Tamandua tetradactyla: one gene and its partner. The protein of the gene in region 1 interacts with the protein of each later gene in a biochemical or structural test. Links are inferred from orthologs where the notes say so. Each region holds a gene or a part of one and is shown on either strand. Other genes may lie near its edges.

Region 1 (8,544 bases):
AATTTTCTAGAAATGTCCCACAGATGGTAATACTGTATCAAAATAGTTCAGCATCAGTATAATCTTGCAGGATATGTGCAATCACAGAAATACAAGTAACTCAAAAGCCACTGTAACTCTACGTAGAAAATTGTGCCCAGTCAGAGCCTTTCACCTATTTTCCCACCCATTTCTAAAATGAAGTTTGAAAGGTTGGATTGATTGTGGATTTATGGTCAAGATAAGGTCTTAAATCAACTCTCCCAAGAGATCCTGTCATCAATGAAGTTGCTTCATTACTTTTTCCAGGTGCTCATTTTGAAAATGAACTTACTCCAATTATTCAATGTCCATCACATAAGTTGTACACATACATTGAAGCTGCTTTAAAAAGTTACTGAGATGTCCATTGTTTGATTCAACTGCAAAAAGTTGTATAATTATAAAAATTTAAAACGGACAGTCTTTTCTGTAAATATGTATTATGAGAAATAAAGAATGGCAGGACCATTGCTTTCATTAAAATATCTACTCCGATTTGGAGAGAGAAAAAAAAAAAGAAGCATAGCTGTTGGGCTTTTCTTCTGAGATACCTCTGTCAGTGAGAGGCAGCGGTGCTACCCTCTCACACGCACCCCTTTGCCAGGGACTGGGCTCAGAGGTGCAGGGGTCTTTGGGGTATGACTTGTCCTCCTCAGCATAGTCTCCCATGAACTGTCAAGATTTGTGTCTGATTAGGCCTCTGCTTCTAGCCTCTGTCTTTTTTACCTCCACCAGTTGAGGATGGTTGGTTTTTGTAGAGTGACGTATCCCTACTCTGTCACTGTTCAGACAGCTGTGCTTAGGGCCTTACTGAGCCCAGGATCTTAGATCCTGCCAGGCTTCTAATCTCAGGTCCGTTTTAGGGCATGATTCTTGCCTTCCAGGCTGTTCTCTTATTCGCAACATCCACTTCCAACTTCTCAGTCAACTCCTGCTCTTTCCTCAGCTTCTCTAAAGCGTCCTGGAGCTTCTCCTGGAGAGGAAGACAGCAAGTTAGTCCCCAAACAGACCAGGAAGTGTAGGGGGGGCGCTGTGGGATGCGGAGGTTCAGATTGGTTCTTAGAAAGGCCTGGGTACTAGAGTCTGAGTGGGGTAGGAGTTCTGCAGATGGAAGGACTTGAGCAAAAGCCTGATCTTTGCTTGCGGAATAGAGCTACACTGTTGGAGTCACGGGGGTGGGGGCGGGGGTGGGGGCGGGGGCGGAGGCGTTACTAGTTCCTAATTAACCGGGAAGCCACAAGGAAACGTGATTCTTGCAGCATTTTTCCATAGCACAGTCCCTGTTCCTGGGGACTGAGAAGATTGTGCTTAGTTTGCATTTCCCCTGGTATATTAGGCATGGAATAACCTTCCTTTCCCCAACCAGTCAACTCCAGGGGTACTTCTTGTTCATCCCCTGCTCTGGGGAGCGTCTCCTTCCCATCTGTCCATGCCTCCAGGTGAATGCCTTACCCGGTAATCCTGAGCAGCCTCTTCAATAGGGATCTTGGGGTGATCGCGGTGTTTCCGGGACTCGGCACACACCCAGCAAAGGGCTTTCCTGTCTCCCTCACAGAACAGGTGAAGTTTCTCTCCATGTACCTCGCAGTGGTCCCCCTTTGTGCCCTCCTTGGCATCTACGTTGATCTGCCGGAGGTTGTCCACCACGTTGGCTAGCTGCCTGTTAGGCCGGAGGTTCCTGAGCAGGAATTTCTTCCGGCACACGGGACAGGCAGCGCCTCCGTTTCTCCCCACCTCAGAGATGCATTCTTCGCAGAAGTTGTGGCCGCACTCAATGCTCACAGGTTCTGCTAGGGGATCGAGGCAGATAGGGCACGTGACCTCTTCCCACATCATTGCCAGGGGCTTTGCTGAGGCCATGGAGGTAACGTCCCTGCTAAGCAGCAGCACAGAGATCTTGTTTGGGACTATTGGGGAGACAAAAAAAAAGGAAAGAAGAGAGGGGTTATGGGAAATAAAAATGATTCAAAGGAAACTATAAGGGGGAGTGAACTGGAGGGGGTGAAAATAGGAAAGATGAGAACAACCTAAATAACAAAGACTCCTCCATAGTCTGGTCTGTTGATATAGTTAGAAAGAAGGGGAAACTGAGTCCACAAAAGAGGGAGAGGAAATTGTCTAGAACCTCAAAGATAAAGCTGTTTAAAATTCTTTCACCATGTCTATCGTTGCTTAAGTCCTTCAAATGGAATGATAAAGAAGGTGAAACAAAACAAAACAAGGGTGGGCCACGGTGGTTCAGCAGGCAAGAATGCTTGCCTGCCATGCCAGAGGACCCGGGTTTGATTCCCAGTGCCTGCCTATGTAAAATAAAATAAACAAAAAAACAACTCCTGATGGTTTACTATGTGCCCAGCCTGGGGCTGAGGGATGAACTCATTTAATTATATCACCTTCTCTATTTGAGGTGTGCCCACTAGGTATTTGGTTGGCGGGGAGGTCCAGGAAGGGGTTGCTGAAGTATGGGGCTCAGGCCATGGGGTCTCCAGCTTCACACAAGGACCATTTCCACCAACTGTCACTTTGGAAATTCTTGTGGTGATTTATTATAAAGATTCCCTTCAGTGCTCAGGCTTTTTCTATCCATCTTCTCCTATCCCACCAGCCCTCCATTTTGCTGAGAAGCTCATCATTATAACAGATACCATTTACTATGGCCCTTCCATCCTCCGTGTGCCAGAGAATGTGCTCCACGCTTTGCATACATCTTCATTAATCATTACAATAATGGCAGGAGTCATATACATAGAGGAGGAAGAAATTTAGGGATTTTGCTATTGAGGAACAGGGATGTGGAGTGTCCCCTGAGCTGCTGGGGAAGGGGTGGCCCCTGGGTGTACTGAGGGTGTGAGGAGGAGCAGGCAGGGGCTCCTGACAGGGACTCCTCTGAGCAACTGCAAACCTTCCTGTCTTCATTTGGGTATAGGCCAGCTCGGTCTTGAACCAGCAAGGAGCAAGTGGGGGGATGGGAGGAAAAAACATTCAGCTTCAAGGAAGGCTCCATACCTCATGCTGGGTTTCCCCAGCCGCCCGGCAGGCTAGACTAGGACCCAGCTCTTCCACCCTCACCTGCCCCCTCCCAGATCTGGCGTCAGCATCAGGGTAGCCCCAGCTTCTTCCTGGTACAAATCATACTCACTGTCCAGCATGGGAATAAGTTCTGGGCTTGGGTCCAATCAAGTCAGGAGCAGAGAAAGGACAATTCGGATAGAAGGCTCTCGGGTTGGAAGAGAATCTTCAAATCTGGGTAAGGGGAGGGAGAACAGCCCCCAGGGAGGGTCGGGCACCTTAATCTGGCCAAATTAACTCACTTTAACAGGGTAGTCACTGGACGGCAGGCGCTTATCAATTTCACTTTCGATTTCCTCTAAGCGGCAAGTCAGAAAAAAAAAAAAAAAAAAACCCAGGGGAGGAGTGTGGGCGGAGAAATGGGCGGGGAGGAGATGGAAACGGAGAGGGGCGGGGCAGGAGGAGGAGTGAAGAAGGGAAGGTAGGGAAGTGAAAGGAGTTGGGCCGGGGGAGAACGTAAGAAGGTTTCTGACAATGCCAGATTCAGGCTTCTTGGAGAAAGTTCAGCAGCAGTTCATCCTATGTGCAAGCTCGTTCCCATTAATTTAATTTAGGGGCCCCTCTCACATTTCCCCCTCCCAGCTCTGTGCAACTGAGGCTGTTTCCCTCCCAATTCCGAGGTCTGCAATTACTCTCTTCCTGTGGCTTATGGGCCCTCTTCCCTCCAGTGCAACTGCACACTCTAGAGCAGTGTCATAAGCTGCTCTGGGGGGAAACTGTCCCCTACTCGGCTGTAAGGCAGGAGCTGGGCACCCAGAAAGGCCGATCTGACGTGGTTTCTACTGTCTTCCTTCCAGTGAGCATTAGAGACACTAACTTCTGTGGATTCCTATGGTCTGAGCTGGGGGGATAGGAAAAGGGTCGGGTACCGTGGAAAGCAGATTTGGTTATACAGTTTGGCTGTCTGGGAAAGAAGACTTGGTGATAAATTAATAAATCTACCCAAATGTGCTTTCTTTGGCACTGGTCACCTTCCTGTATATAAATGCTGTGTCTGCATCTGGGTGCTGCTCCTAAAAGGGCCTGGCACTCCCTGTTATATACCACTACCTGCTTCCTGCTTCCATAAATGAATTCCTTTTCCCAAAACATGATATTCTTTCAACATCTGGGGTAAGAGATTTATTCTGCCCAACTGCCAAGCAGATATCATACCAGTGAGTGGCAAGAAGAAAACTAACATGTATTGAGGACCACCGTGTTCTTGTCACCGAGGTAGGGATTTTAGCAGGTTATATATATATATATATATATATATTTTTTTTTTTTGCATGGTCAGGCACCAGGAATTGAACCCAGGTCTCCAGCATGGCAGGGGAGAACTTTGAGGGCGAGCCACGGTGGCTCAGGAAGCAGGTATATTTTGTAGTTTACACAACAATTTAGCAAGTGAGGATTATTATTCTCATATTCAGGGAGGACAATGAAGCTGAGTGGAGTGACTTGCTTGAGTGACGTAGTAAGCAAAAGTGCACTAGAGTTAACAGTCTAGAAAAGATCCTCATTTTAGTGACAGCCCAGAGATAACTGGCTGCCCTGGCAGTTGAAGCAGAGGCTGCAGGGAGGGTTGGTTAGGGTGTGGTCACAAACTGCAGATGAGGAAGTAGAAAAGAAGGTGAGGAAATGGTGAGATTAGAAGAATTCTAAATTTCTTCCAGTTCATTCTGTGTGTGTGTGTGTTTTGTCGCTGTATAACGTAAGGTAAAAACATCAGTGAAGCTTCTCTTCATCTGTACAATAGATTTAGGAATCCTAAAAACACTTCATGCTTTAAATTTTCCAGTTCTGTTTGTAAGAGAATGTATAAGTGAAAGGCTCTCAAGTGACATCTAGTGTTCAAGCAGAATGAAAGAGTTAAAAAAAAAAAAAAAGAAAAAGCGACCAGTATTTGAATTTGCAGACACTCACAAAATGATTCTGCTTCACCTCAATGCATTCTTTGTGATTTCCTGCAGGAATTGAGTAAACCACTGTTGGGAGGTGTATGAAAAGAGCTTAGGGCTCAAAATAGAGCAGATGTGAGTTCAGTGCTGATCTTGCTATTTATTTCCTGGGTGCTCATTATTCTGAGCTTCAGCTTATTCATCTATTAAGCAGGGATATTAATATATACACCACAGGTTTATTTTGGTGCTTGTTCAATACTATGCACACAAATCAACTGGCAAAACAGATGTTATCATCTTACTAAAATAAAATAGAGGCGGAGTAGCCTTGGCCAATACCTTATCCACAAACCCAAGTAACATGATGGAAACTTGGGAGGGGCAGCCTTTCAACATAAAGTCAGTGGTAGGCAGGGCAGTAAAGCCAGCCAATCAGAAATAGTCACCTTAGGGTGGGGCATTCCATCGGGAACAGCTCAAATAAGGCAATGTAGCCTAGCTATCAAATCAGAAAGACTTACTGTATATAGGTTCCCAATTTCCGCTCCCTTCTTGGAGCTATTTGCCACTTTTGGGTTGGTGCTCCTGGATTCTGGAGTAGTTTGTTGCCCAGATAAACTTTAACAAACTTTTAAACACTGATCTTATACCCATTACCAAGGTGGAGATTAAGGCAAAGTTGATAATAATAGCTTTTCTTATACCACCCGTTCCAAATTCTTGTCACTGCCAGTACTTCAGTTTGTTCTTAACATGGCACGTGAATCTCTGGTCTTGAAGGAGCAGTATCCTTCATGTTCTTGCCTTATCGCATTAGCACACGTTGTCTTTAGCACACTGACCATTGTTACTTGATGAGAATAAGAATCTCTTCACCATATACCTTGGGTTATAGGTCCAGCCAGTCCTCCTTGCCCCACTGTGTACCAGCAACCCAAGTTTTCCTTGATAGTAGGGATGTCATTCCAGTCAGTTTGTAGGAACCCTCTACTCTGTCATCAGTGGTTTAAGAAACTCCAAATAGGCAGGGAACAGTGGCAGATTCCAATGATTGCAATCAGGTTTGCTTTCCCTAGTGGAAGGGCTTCTCTGTTATTTACTAGGGACCTACAAACCGGCAGAGTACTATGTTGTGGAGACTAAAAGGAAATATTCTGTAAATGAGTTACTTTTTAAATTTTAAAAAATATGTTAATTGGTAAAACTTAACATACGAACATTCCATACATGGTGTCATGGTCAGGTTCATGTGTCAACTTGGCCAGGTGGTGGTACCTGTTTGTCTGGTTGGGCAAGCGCCGGCCTGTCTGTTGCAATGAGGACATTTCATAGGATTAGGTCATGATCACGTCAGCTGCATCCACAGCTAATTCCATTTGTAATCAGCCAAGGGGAGTGTCTTCTGCAATGACTGATGCTTGATCTAATCACTGGAAGTCTTTTAAGGAGGATTCAGAAGAGACAGGCTCTGTTCCTGTTTCAGTTGGCAAGCCTCTCCTGTGGAGTTTGTCCAGACCCTCCATTGGAATCGTCAGCTTCACAGCCTGCCCTGCAGATTTTGGACTCCGCATTCCCGTGGTTTGTGAGACACTTTTATAAATTTTATATTTGTGAATGTTTCCTGTTGATTCTGTTTCTCTAGAGAACCGTAACTAATACGCATGGTGAACAATTAATGGTTTACAATATCATCACATAGTTGCTTGTTCATCACCATGATCATTTTTTGAACATTTGCATCACTCCAGAAAAACAAATAAGAAAAAAGAAAAAACCCATACAGACAATACCCCTTATCCCTCCCTCTCATTGACCACTAGTATTTCCATCTAGTCAATTTATTTTAACCTTTGTCACCCCTATTTTTAAATTTTTAATCCGTTTTTTGTAAATGAGTTATTAATGTGATAGAAACACGGGCCACTTTCACCTCCTTCCCTTGATTCTTTGACCAATGTGTACATATTGGATATACGTTTCAAAAAGTTACCACATATTGCTTGCTGATTTTAAGCATGTACCAGAATGTATAGGAATCGCCATCATTCTTACAGGGTGGGGTTTCCAAATTGGTGCCATAGCTGAGCCTTCAGCAGGCCATTCCACAGTTTCATTGGGCCAGCTGCTTCTGGCTGATGGGATACACTGTAAAACCAGTGCATTCCATACAGCAAGCCCAATATCAGAATTCTTTGTCTGTAAAATCAGTTGTAAGTATGCTTGGGGTACCCTGATTGTGTAAGTCTAAAAGTGGTGGTGCTGGCAGAAGCATTATAGATGGGAAAAATAAAACTGTCTTTGGAATATATACCTATTTCATAACAACAAATTTCTTTTGGTTCAATATAACTAATCTTCCACTAGAAGATTATCTACACCCTCCTAGAAATAGTGAAAAGTTGGGCTCAGAGTTGACTTTTCATATTCAGGTATCTATAGCAGCAGGGATAGAGGATGTATCTGAGGTAAATAGCATAGACTTTACCTCACCAAGGCTTATCTTTTTCCACTACTGATTTGGATGCTTGTACCTGAGTCCATTGAACAAGCAACAGGTGGCTGGGACAGAAGCTGATCATCTATCTACCTGATAGATTGCCTTCTCTGCATTGGATACTTTTTGGTAGGTATTCACATGGGACAAACATATTTTTGTACTCTGGACTGTTTTCTAGAAGTTCAACACATACTTCTCCCCATACCTCTTTATCATCAATCTCAGATAATCCTATCTGTTCAAAATTGTCAGGTTATCAGTTTATATATAGATCTGAAGGGAATAATCATTTGCTTGAAAGCTCTTCCCATTGGAAAGATTTCCCTTCATCCCTCTTTTTCAGGGTGATCTGTATTGGACACCAGTCTTATTTGCCATTTCAGAGTCTCTTGACCCTATCTTTTATTCTTAGCATCTGCTGGTGCTGGGCCATCACTACATACACATATACTGGAACTTGGATGAAACATCACACTACAGGGCATAGGATCAGATTTCTTAGCAGCTATCATGGGCCCAAATGATATGACCAAAAAAATGTGGGGAGTCAGGTCCCTGTGGAGTGAATATTAGCCAATGGGAAATAGGAGGCAGGAGAGAAGTTCACTTTTGTGCTGGATGCTGTGTAATATCTTCAGGTCTTTTAGTGTACTTATTGCATTTGCTTCTTTTATGGTCTGGCAGCACCAGTAGTCCAGTAGCATTTTAAACTAAATTAGTTGCTTGAGGATTTTAGAATCTTATAATGTGAATTCAGTCCCAGAATTCAAGTGATGGCAGGTTTCTGGTTATGGATTTTCCAGGGATGATTTGTTTTACTTTCATCACAGAGCTAAGAAGATGGCCAATCTGTTTCCTGTCTCGCTTTGTAGGACAGATTTTGTTTCTGGACTATCTTTTCACGAAGGGTTAACCTTTTAGATTTAACTACTCTTTTTAGTTTTTCTATATCTAATGATTATCCAGGACTCCTCTTAATCCAATTTTAGTAATTTAAATCTTGCCAGAAAAAAATCCATTTCATTTATATTTTCAAGTCTCTTTGTTTAATTCTTACATGGCATATTCTTA
Region 2 (7,936 bases), on another chromosome or scaffold:
CATTAAATATCACCATAATTACACTTCTTTATGAATGTTTTTTTAAAACACAATCAAACCAATCTTACTCAATCTTACTTAGTGATTTGTGACTTTGTTTACAGGAAGAAAAGGGTGAGGAGAATGTCTCAAAGGGCTCACCTAACTCTGAAAACTACTACCCCAAAATGAATATTGAACTCTAGCAATACAACATATAGCAGAGCTTCCCTAGCATTACAAGTGTGCTGGTGTATTTATTTCCCTGATTCCTGGTGTTTGGGGTGGGGGTGGGGGACTGGAGCTGTGAGACCAGGTGCTTTCAGGCCTCTAATAAACCAATTCATCTTAGTGTGTTATTCAAAAATTATTTTTTATGTGTGGCATGACCTGAAAAATGGTTGGAAAGCACTGATACAGTGCATTAAGGCAGTCACAACCTCACCTTCTAAGATACATACTTTCCAATAAGAAATCAAGTCTACCCTTGACTTGGTTTATTCCATACTTATCAATTCAAATAATCAAATCCCATGTTACATTTGTATCATATGCATATGTTTTTAAAAGACAATTCCTCTTACAGCTTAAATACCCTCTTCTTTAGCAGCAGTAATACCTGGTGTGGGTGAGACAAAGAAATGTAGTAGCTTTTTAGTTAAGGATATGATCAACACAGCATTCCACATTATACCATACTTTTTCCTAAGACCCTAACCAAAATTCCAAAAATACCCATTTCCTAACCCACTTTCATGCTTAATTTTTCTCCATAGCATTTACCACCTTCTAATATGACACAATCTAAATTCAAATATTTTATTGTCTGTCCCCCTGACTAGAGCATCTCGTCAGTTTTTATTCACTGCTGTATCCCCAAGCACCTAGATGAGTGCTAGACATACAGAAAGCCCTAAAAAAATAATTGCTGAGTGAATCAATAAATTTAGTAATTTGGTTGGAGCTTTATGTGTAATTTAGTTTGTTTTGAAGAGTTAAACTTTGCTCTTAAAGTTTTAATAAAACTTTTTTGTTCATCAAAGACAGAACTGTACACAAAAAGCTCACACACAGAAATAAGTGTTTCAGAAAGCTTGTTTATCTGTATTAAAATATGCGAGGATACTACCAGAAAACAAATAAAAGAGAAAGACTTGATTTTATTTTAATTAAAATAGAAAGGGTCAGTTTTCCATTCCTCTAATCAGAAGACAGTAAGGAATAAAGAAAGGTGATAAAACAGTCCAACGTTTGGGACATAGAAAAAATGCAATAATGCACTGGCAAGTTATTTTTCCCATTGCTTAAGTGCCCATATAAAATTCAAGATAATCAACATTAGGTTCTGTGTCAACTCATTTTTTCTCTTAAAAACTGTAATCTTAGAAAATCTAACCAGTTATCCCTTGAGTTACCAACCCTATATACTAAGCTCTCCTGTCAAATACAATCAACACTGTTATGAATTTTAACCTTAAATTTTTAGTCTTATAACGAATGTTTTAATCTTAATGCAAATAATCTTAAATTGGTTATGCAGCCCATCTACTGCTCAACTTAGAAGCGTTCCATAGTTCCTTTTTTAGCTTCAAATGATGAAACTTCTCTAACGTCTCTGGGGAGATAGTGTATGTTTCCTGAAATTGTGTTCATTTTTTCCTTGCACTTTTTTGCAACATCTCTTCAACCAGAAATGTTATATACAATTTCTTCTCTGTTCTGAAGTGCAACGGAAGGAGCAAAGGTAAAGAATAGAAAACATACTGAAAAGGAATAAAAGCAATAAAGTAAATATGAAATGAGGTCTACACAAAGAGGAAGAAGTTGCAAAAAAGAGAGAAGAAAAACACTGCTTTAGCCAAGAAAAGCAGGGGGAAAAACTAAGGAGTAGAGAGACTTGCTTATTCTTTTGAAACAAACAAAAAAATCCTTCTAAGAAAACTGTGATCTCCTTCTTCATTTAGGGAACGTTTTTAAAACTCTAAAAAGCATTCGGTGGACAGCCCTAAAAGGAATTCTACCTTCTCTTCCCATACGTTTTGACACCACTCATCTTAATCTATGAAACAAATGCAGGCTACAGATAATGCAGGCAAATCTCTACAAAACTACAACTGTGGTTGCCATCTTTGCCTGGAAACCCAAACTCCTCTTTGGGTTTGGAAAAAAAAGAGTAAATTAAGTTTGAAAGCCAAAAAAAAAAAAAAAAAACAAAAACCACGCACTGCCAAGACAGATAAAATACAGGTTAACAATCTCCTACCAAACCAAAGGTTCCACTAAAAGTCTGGGGAAAAGGGCAAAGGGCTGTATAGCCTTACCGCGACCGCAAGGGTGGGGCATCGCAGGGGAAAAAAAATTATTCTAGGGCAAGCTATCCCAAGAGGTATAATAAAAGGGGCTAGTGACTCCCCGCCCTCGGGAAGATCGCAAATTAGGAAGCCAAAGAAGTTAATGGAACCAAGGGCAGCTTTGGGGATAAGGGAGTGAGAAAGTGGACGGCAGGAGTGTAGTATCAGTGTGAATGCAGAGACAGAGAGAAGAGGGTACCCAGCCGGCAAGGGATTACACGGGAGGAGAGCTGAGGAGCCGAGCAGTCAGGGAGTCCTGGCGTGGGAGGCCTGAGCCGAGGCCGCAAAGCCCAGTGAGCAAGCAGCCGCCTTCTGCGGGAACGCCTTTTCAGTTCCCTCAGTCTCAGCCCTTCTCAGGGCTGCCGCTGCCCAGGCGACAACGGCGAGAACAGCTGTTTCCGCCCGGCTGGGAACCGCGAAGGAAAAGGCATCTCTTGGGTGGGCAGGCCGGCGGTCGACTCAGACCATTTGTGTTGTGGGGGTGAGGGAGGAGGCGATTCCAAGACCACAGCCGCAATGCAAACGCCAAACTTCGCCGTTTCCTCCCCTAGCCCTTCTTCATCCCCCAACTTCCCGGCCGGCTGGTGTCCGCTTCGACCGACCGAGATACCCCCTCCGCCCTCCTCTCGTTGCTTCTCACTCCTCCCCGAAGCTGGGGAAAGACCGGCCATAAGGGCCGCTCCCGAGCCGCACGGATACTCCTCAAGCCCTGGGCGGCACCCTGGGCCGAAGGCTCACACCCTCTCCGCGGCTCCTTCGCCCGCCCAGATGCAGCAAACTCCTCTTACCTGCATTGACGCCATGATGGAACCATCCCCCCCAGGGCCGGCGAGGCCTGAGACGCAGGGGGCGGAGCTGCCGTGCTCGCGTCACGCCGCGGGGGCCCAGCATCCTGGGCTCGGGGGTGTGTGGCCTCCAATGGGGAGGAGACGGAGCGACCGGATTGGTTGGTGCGGGGGCACCCAGAGGGGCGAGGGAGGGGAAGGGCGGGGGCGGAAAAGGGTGAGAAGGGGAGGGCAGGGGCGGGGCGCGGTAAACGGCGTTGTAGGTGCTGAAGATTGCTGCCGGCTAGTCGGCGTCCGCTCTAGTCCACCCCTAGCCAGAGCGCTGAAGAAGCGTACACCGGCTTCTGGCCCGCCAAGCCGTGGTATTGCTTTTTCCGTCTATGCCCCGAGATCTTGGTGATGAGCGGATCGGTGGGTTTTTCTGATTCGTTTAGTTTTTCCAACCACAGGTGTAAGATTTACAGGTTTTCCCCCTTGAATGTCTTTCCACTCCGTTGATACCGCTGGGCTTGATAGAACTCTCTGCGGGTCTGCTTTTTTTTTTTTTTTTCCTTGACCAACCTGGAAGGCTTCTCATATTCCTAATTTGGGAAAGAGACACAGAATAGAGAGCAGAGATAACACCCTGATGTTTTAAAGGCAAAGATATTTTGCATTTGTAAAAGTAAAACGACAGAGAGGCGAGAAAAATATGCAGTTTTTCTTCTGTTCGTGTGTGATTTCCACTCCCGTACCCCACCCCCTCAGTTTTAAAGTGCATATGTATCCATAGCTAGGGTTGCTATGGCAGTTTGCCTAGAGATTTGGCCCTGGGCGTGAAAATATATATATGTGTGCATATACCAGCGTCTAGGTATAATATGCACTTAGACCTGTCGCATCCGGAATTTTCTCTCAACCTAACTTTCATGGTAGTCCAATCTAGGAATGTGTTGGGTAGGGAACGTGTACATAATTTATTCTAGGAATGCTCCAGTTCTGCCAACATTTATGAGAAGCCACGTTTTGAAGCGCTATCCCAAAACTGAAGTGTCACTGATTTGTAAGAGGAAAGTGGAAGCAAAAGGCTTATACCTCGTGTTCTATCGCTAAAAAATTAAGGTGGCTGATAACATTTTTTTAGAAGGCTTTTTACCAGAATGAAAGTTTGAAGTCTGTTATTTTGAGTCGCTTTTTTGAAATTTCTGTAATTTAAAATCCAAATATAAGAGCAGTGTAGAATGTCATCCTCTGCACTCTTTCAAATGGATTATGTTCTGTAGTTTGAAATGTGTTCAAAAACGAAAAAAAATCTTTAAAATATACCACACCTTCTATGGTATAATATTAAACCCACAGTGTTCTTCATCGTTGGAAAGGTTTATTGGTGTACTCATTTGTCTGTCAGATTTCCACCCTATGATCAGAAATGGTCTGGGTTTTCCTTTGTTGCACAAAAAAAATGTGTCATTGAGAATGTTTGGATGCTTTTGACACCCAGGAATCATCCAGGAACATATCAAGTGTTAAGCCAATTACTTTGTTAACATTACAACAGTGAGTAAAACCTACATGCCAATGAAAGAGGAAAGCCCCGTGGAAAAAGTCCCCAGGTGTGTTTTCTTCTAGAATTCTTCATCCCCATGTTCTCAGAGAATTGCTCTGGAAGATCAGGTTTTACCATCTGAGGTTCACTTTGTTTAAAAGCTGATTCTTTAAAAAAAAGCTGATTCTTCCTAAAGCTTTAAGTGACATCAGATGACTCCACAAACAAAGCATTATGGCATCATCAAAGCCAACAACCTGCCATGACAGGTATTAATAAGGAAGAAAAGAGGCTACTGGAATCCTACTCTTTATAGTAGAACCAACATCTGGTTCCGTGGGGGGTTTTTTTGGTTTTTTTTTTTTTTTGGTTGCTTGGGTTTTATATGTGTTAGAACAACCTTCAAAGGGGAAGAAAAGTCAGTATCAGTCATATCCTTGCTAGCAAATACTAAATAGCACATGATTACCTGCAATATCTTCATTCCCTCATCAACATAATAGAAAGGTCCTTATGCACACAGGAGCTAAAAAACATGACTTTCAGATGGAAGAGAGGTATATAATTATCCCCAGGGAGCATGAATTTTTTATATTTATGTAGTGCATCTCATTGGTTATATAATGCATTTCACTTCTTGACAGAGCGGGACTTAATATCAGGCAAAAATGAAAATGTCTGACAAACTAAAAATGAGAAAGGAAGTGGAACTATCATAAACTCTGTAGGAAATATATTGGTACAGTCACTTTAAAAAAACAATTCAGCAATAGGGAAGTTGAAGTTTCCACTGTCCTTAAAGAATCTTTTTAATAGCATCATGTTTCAGTTTGCTAAATCTGCCAGAGTGCGATATGCCAGAAATGGATTGGCTTTTACAAAGGGGATTTATTAGGTTACGAATTTACAGTTCTAAGGCCATGAAAATGTCCTTCCAGAGAAAGATAACTTGACTCTGAAGAAAGGCCTATGGCATCCGGGGTTCCTCTGTGACATGGGAAGGCACATGGCAATGTCTGCTGGTCTCTCTCTCCAAAATGTCTCTGATAGCTTCTGTCTGTCCTTGCTTGCCCTTCCCAGGGCATTTCTGTCTCTGAGCGCTCTCCAAAATGTTTTTGCCTTTTACTTTCCTATAAAGGAAGTGGTAAAGATGATTAAGACCCATCTTGAATTGGGGGGGTCACATCTCCATGGAAACAACCTAATCAAAAGGTCCCACTCAACAACAAGTCTGCACCCACAAGGATGGATTAAAAGAACATAGGCTTTTCTGGCAACAAATTCAAACCAGCATACATCATTTGTGATACAAGCCAACTATAAAGAGACATTTTTGAGACAACTGAGGAAATGTTAGCTCAGAATGGATATTACATGATATTAAAGAATTGTTATTTTTCTTAGATTTGATAATGACATTTTAAAAAAAATTTCCGTGGCAATTAGAAATGACCATCAGGTTGCATGAATAGGATTTTCCTTCGTCTCACACATTGCTTCTGCCTCCACCTCCCTGGAAGGAAAAAAAAGGCAGGATATGCACAGTAGTAACATTGTGAGACCACTGGGTAAATGCTGCAATATTGATGATGCAGTGCAATTTATGAGTGCTTGAATTGTGGTGATTCACTGGACTGGAGAGTCTGGGGCAGTGCTTTGAGGATGTGCTTGTTGGAGCATGAAGAGTCAGAGTTGATGAGTCCCTGCTTGAGTGTATATCTCCGCAGAGTAGTTTATTCATAGTCCTCTAGTTTATGATCTTACCAGAGAAATGGAGGCATTCAGCAATCAACAGCTTATTTATTGGATGCTGGAAAAGGCACTAAACTTAATATTGTGATATTTAATTTTTTATTTCTGATCTTTTGAGTGTTCTATATTTTGAAAATGCATGTATAATCCTTTTAATAATAACAAAATTATTTCAAAATGACAAAAAAAAAAAAGAAAAAAAGTCACCAAACTAATCCAAGTCTCATATTTTTTGCCCCAGATCTATCATCAACAAGCTTGGGTAAGGCTCTTTCTGGGTTTATTTCTTTATCAATAAAATTAGCAAGTCAGACAAGTCAGACTGCATAATCTTTAAGGTTCCTTCCATATTTCAAATTCCATGTATCTATTAAAGGGAATAAAAATTTTAAATGATTTCTGTACAAAATACCATGCTAAAGAAGTCTGAGAGAAAATGCAATCGGAATGATATACTGTTTTGAGTTTTTAAAAAAACCTTTTGTAAATGATAAGGAATGAATTTTGCTTCATTGTAATTTATGTAGAAATATTGGTGGGGGGGTTTAGTTAACAATTTTTTAATATTAATATATTCCAATTGAGCCTCTAGATGAGATTTCATAAAGTAGCAAAAATTCCAAATTCACTATTTATAATGACACTTTAAGAAAAGCATGTCTGCAAAGCATTTGTATTATTTTTTATAATTTTGAACCAAAGCCGGTCATATGACTCTCCCAATAAAAGATGAAGAAAATTAACAAAATAACAAATGGTTTGTATGTGTAACTTAATCTGACTTATTCTCCATGTGAAAATAGTTTATTTACATGCATGCATGGGTTTGGAGATAAAATTGTGAATCAGGAGGACTTCACTTTCTCCCCTTTCCTTACCTCTCTCTAGGAAGAGTTCTTGACCCAGACCTGCAGCCGTTAGCATATTCCTTGCTTATTTCTCCCCCAGACTTCTTTCCAGACATATTCTTAGCGATGTATTAGTTGAATAGCTGTACAGTAGTTCCTTTTGCTTTTTTTCTTTCTGCTCTGGACCCCATTAAAATCAGGTGAAAGCCATGGACCCACCCATCTGCCCCCACACGCACCCCCACAGAAAACTATGTATTATCAGTGAAATGTATTTCAGGGAGTTCCTTGGCCTGATGAAGTTCCTCCATAGCAGAGGTTCGAGAACCTCAAGAACATTTTTAGGGAAAAGTTAACAATGGATGCTAGGTCGGTCTCTTCCAAAACCTGTCTATCTTTTATGTAGAAATAGTAATTTCATAATACTCTTTTTCTTTTTGCTTGCTTGTTTGATTTCTAGTGAAGACAGGATACTGTGTGAAAAGCTCTGATTTGGGAGGCAGAAAGTTAAGTGTTTGCCTTGGCCCTGCCTAGGTGTTGCTAAACATATTTAACCACAGCTGTGGTCAGCTGCCAACGTTTCAGAACAAGGGCTCGGTCTGGGGCAGGGACTGGGAGCGCCTTATCAGGAGGCCAGGTGTCTTCAATTCAATTATGGGGCGGTCTGGGAGGGCTTCAGAGGTCATGGAAGGAGGT

What was found. The genes of interacting proteins can lie anywhere in the genome.
Region 2: the proteins of TRIM21 (region 1) and UBE2W are reported together in a solved structure, tested with the Homo sapiens proteins (2 studies listed by BioGRID, with this or other methods). The link is inferred for Tamandua tetradactyla from reciprocal best matches to the Homo sapiens genes TRIM21 and UBE2W.

Annotation. Positions count from the first base shown.
Region 1 is NC_135334.1:75,426,058-75,434,601, forward strand, and holds the start of TRIM21 (E3 ubiquitin-protein ligase TRIM21), read right to left. Parts: upstream 3,376-8,544; 5' UTR 3,171-3,375; coding exon 3,161-3,170; intron 1,929-3,160; coding exon 1,474-1,928; intron 995-1,473; coding exon 899-994; intron 1-898. UniProt on the Homo sapiens protein: E3 ubiquitin-protein ligase whose activity is dependent on E2 enzymes, UBE2D1, UBE2D2, UBE2E1 and UBE2E2.
Region 2 is NC_135332.1:117,669,557-117,677,492, forward strand, and holds the start of UBE2W (ubiquitin-conjugating enzyme E2 W), read right to left. Parts: upstream 3,254-7,936; 5' UTR 3,134-3,253; coding exon 3,119-3,133; intron 1-3,118. UniProt on the Homo sapiens protein: Accepts ubiquitin from the E1 complex and catalyzes its covalent attachment to other proteins.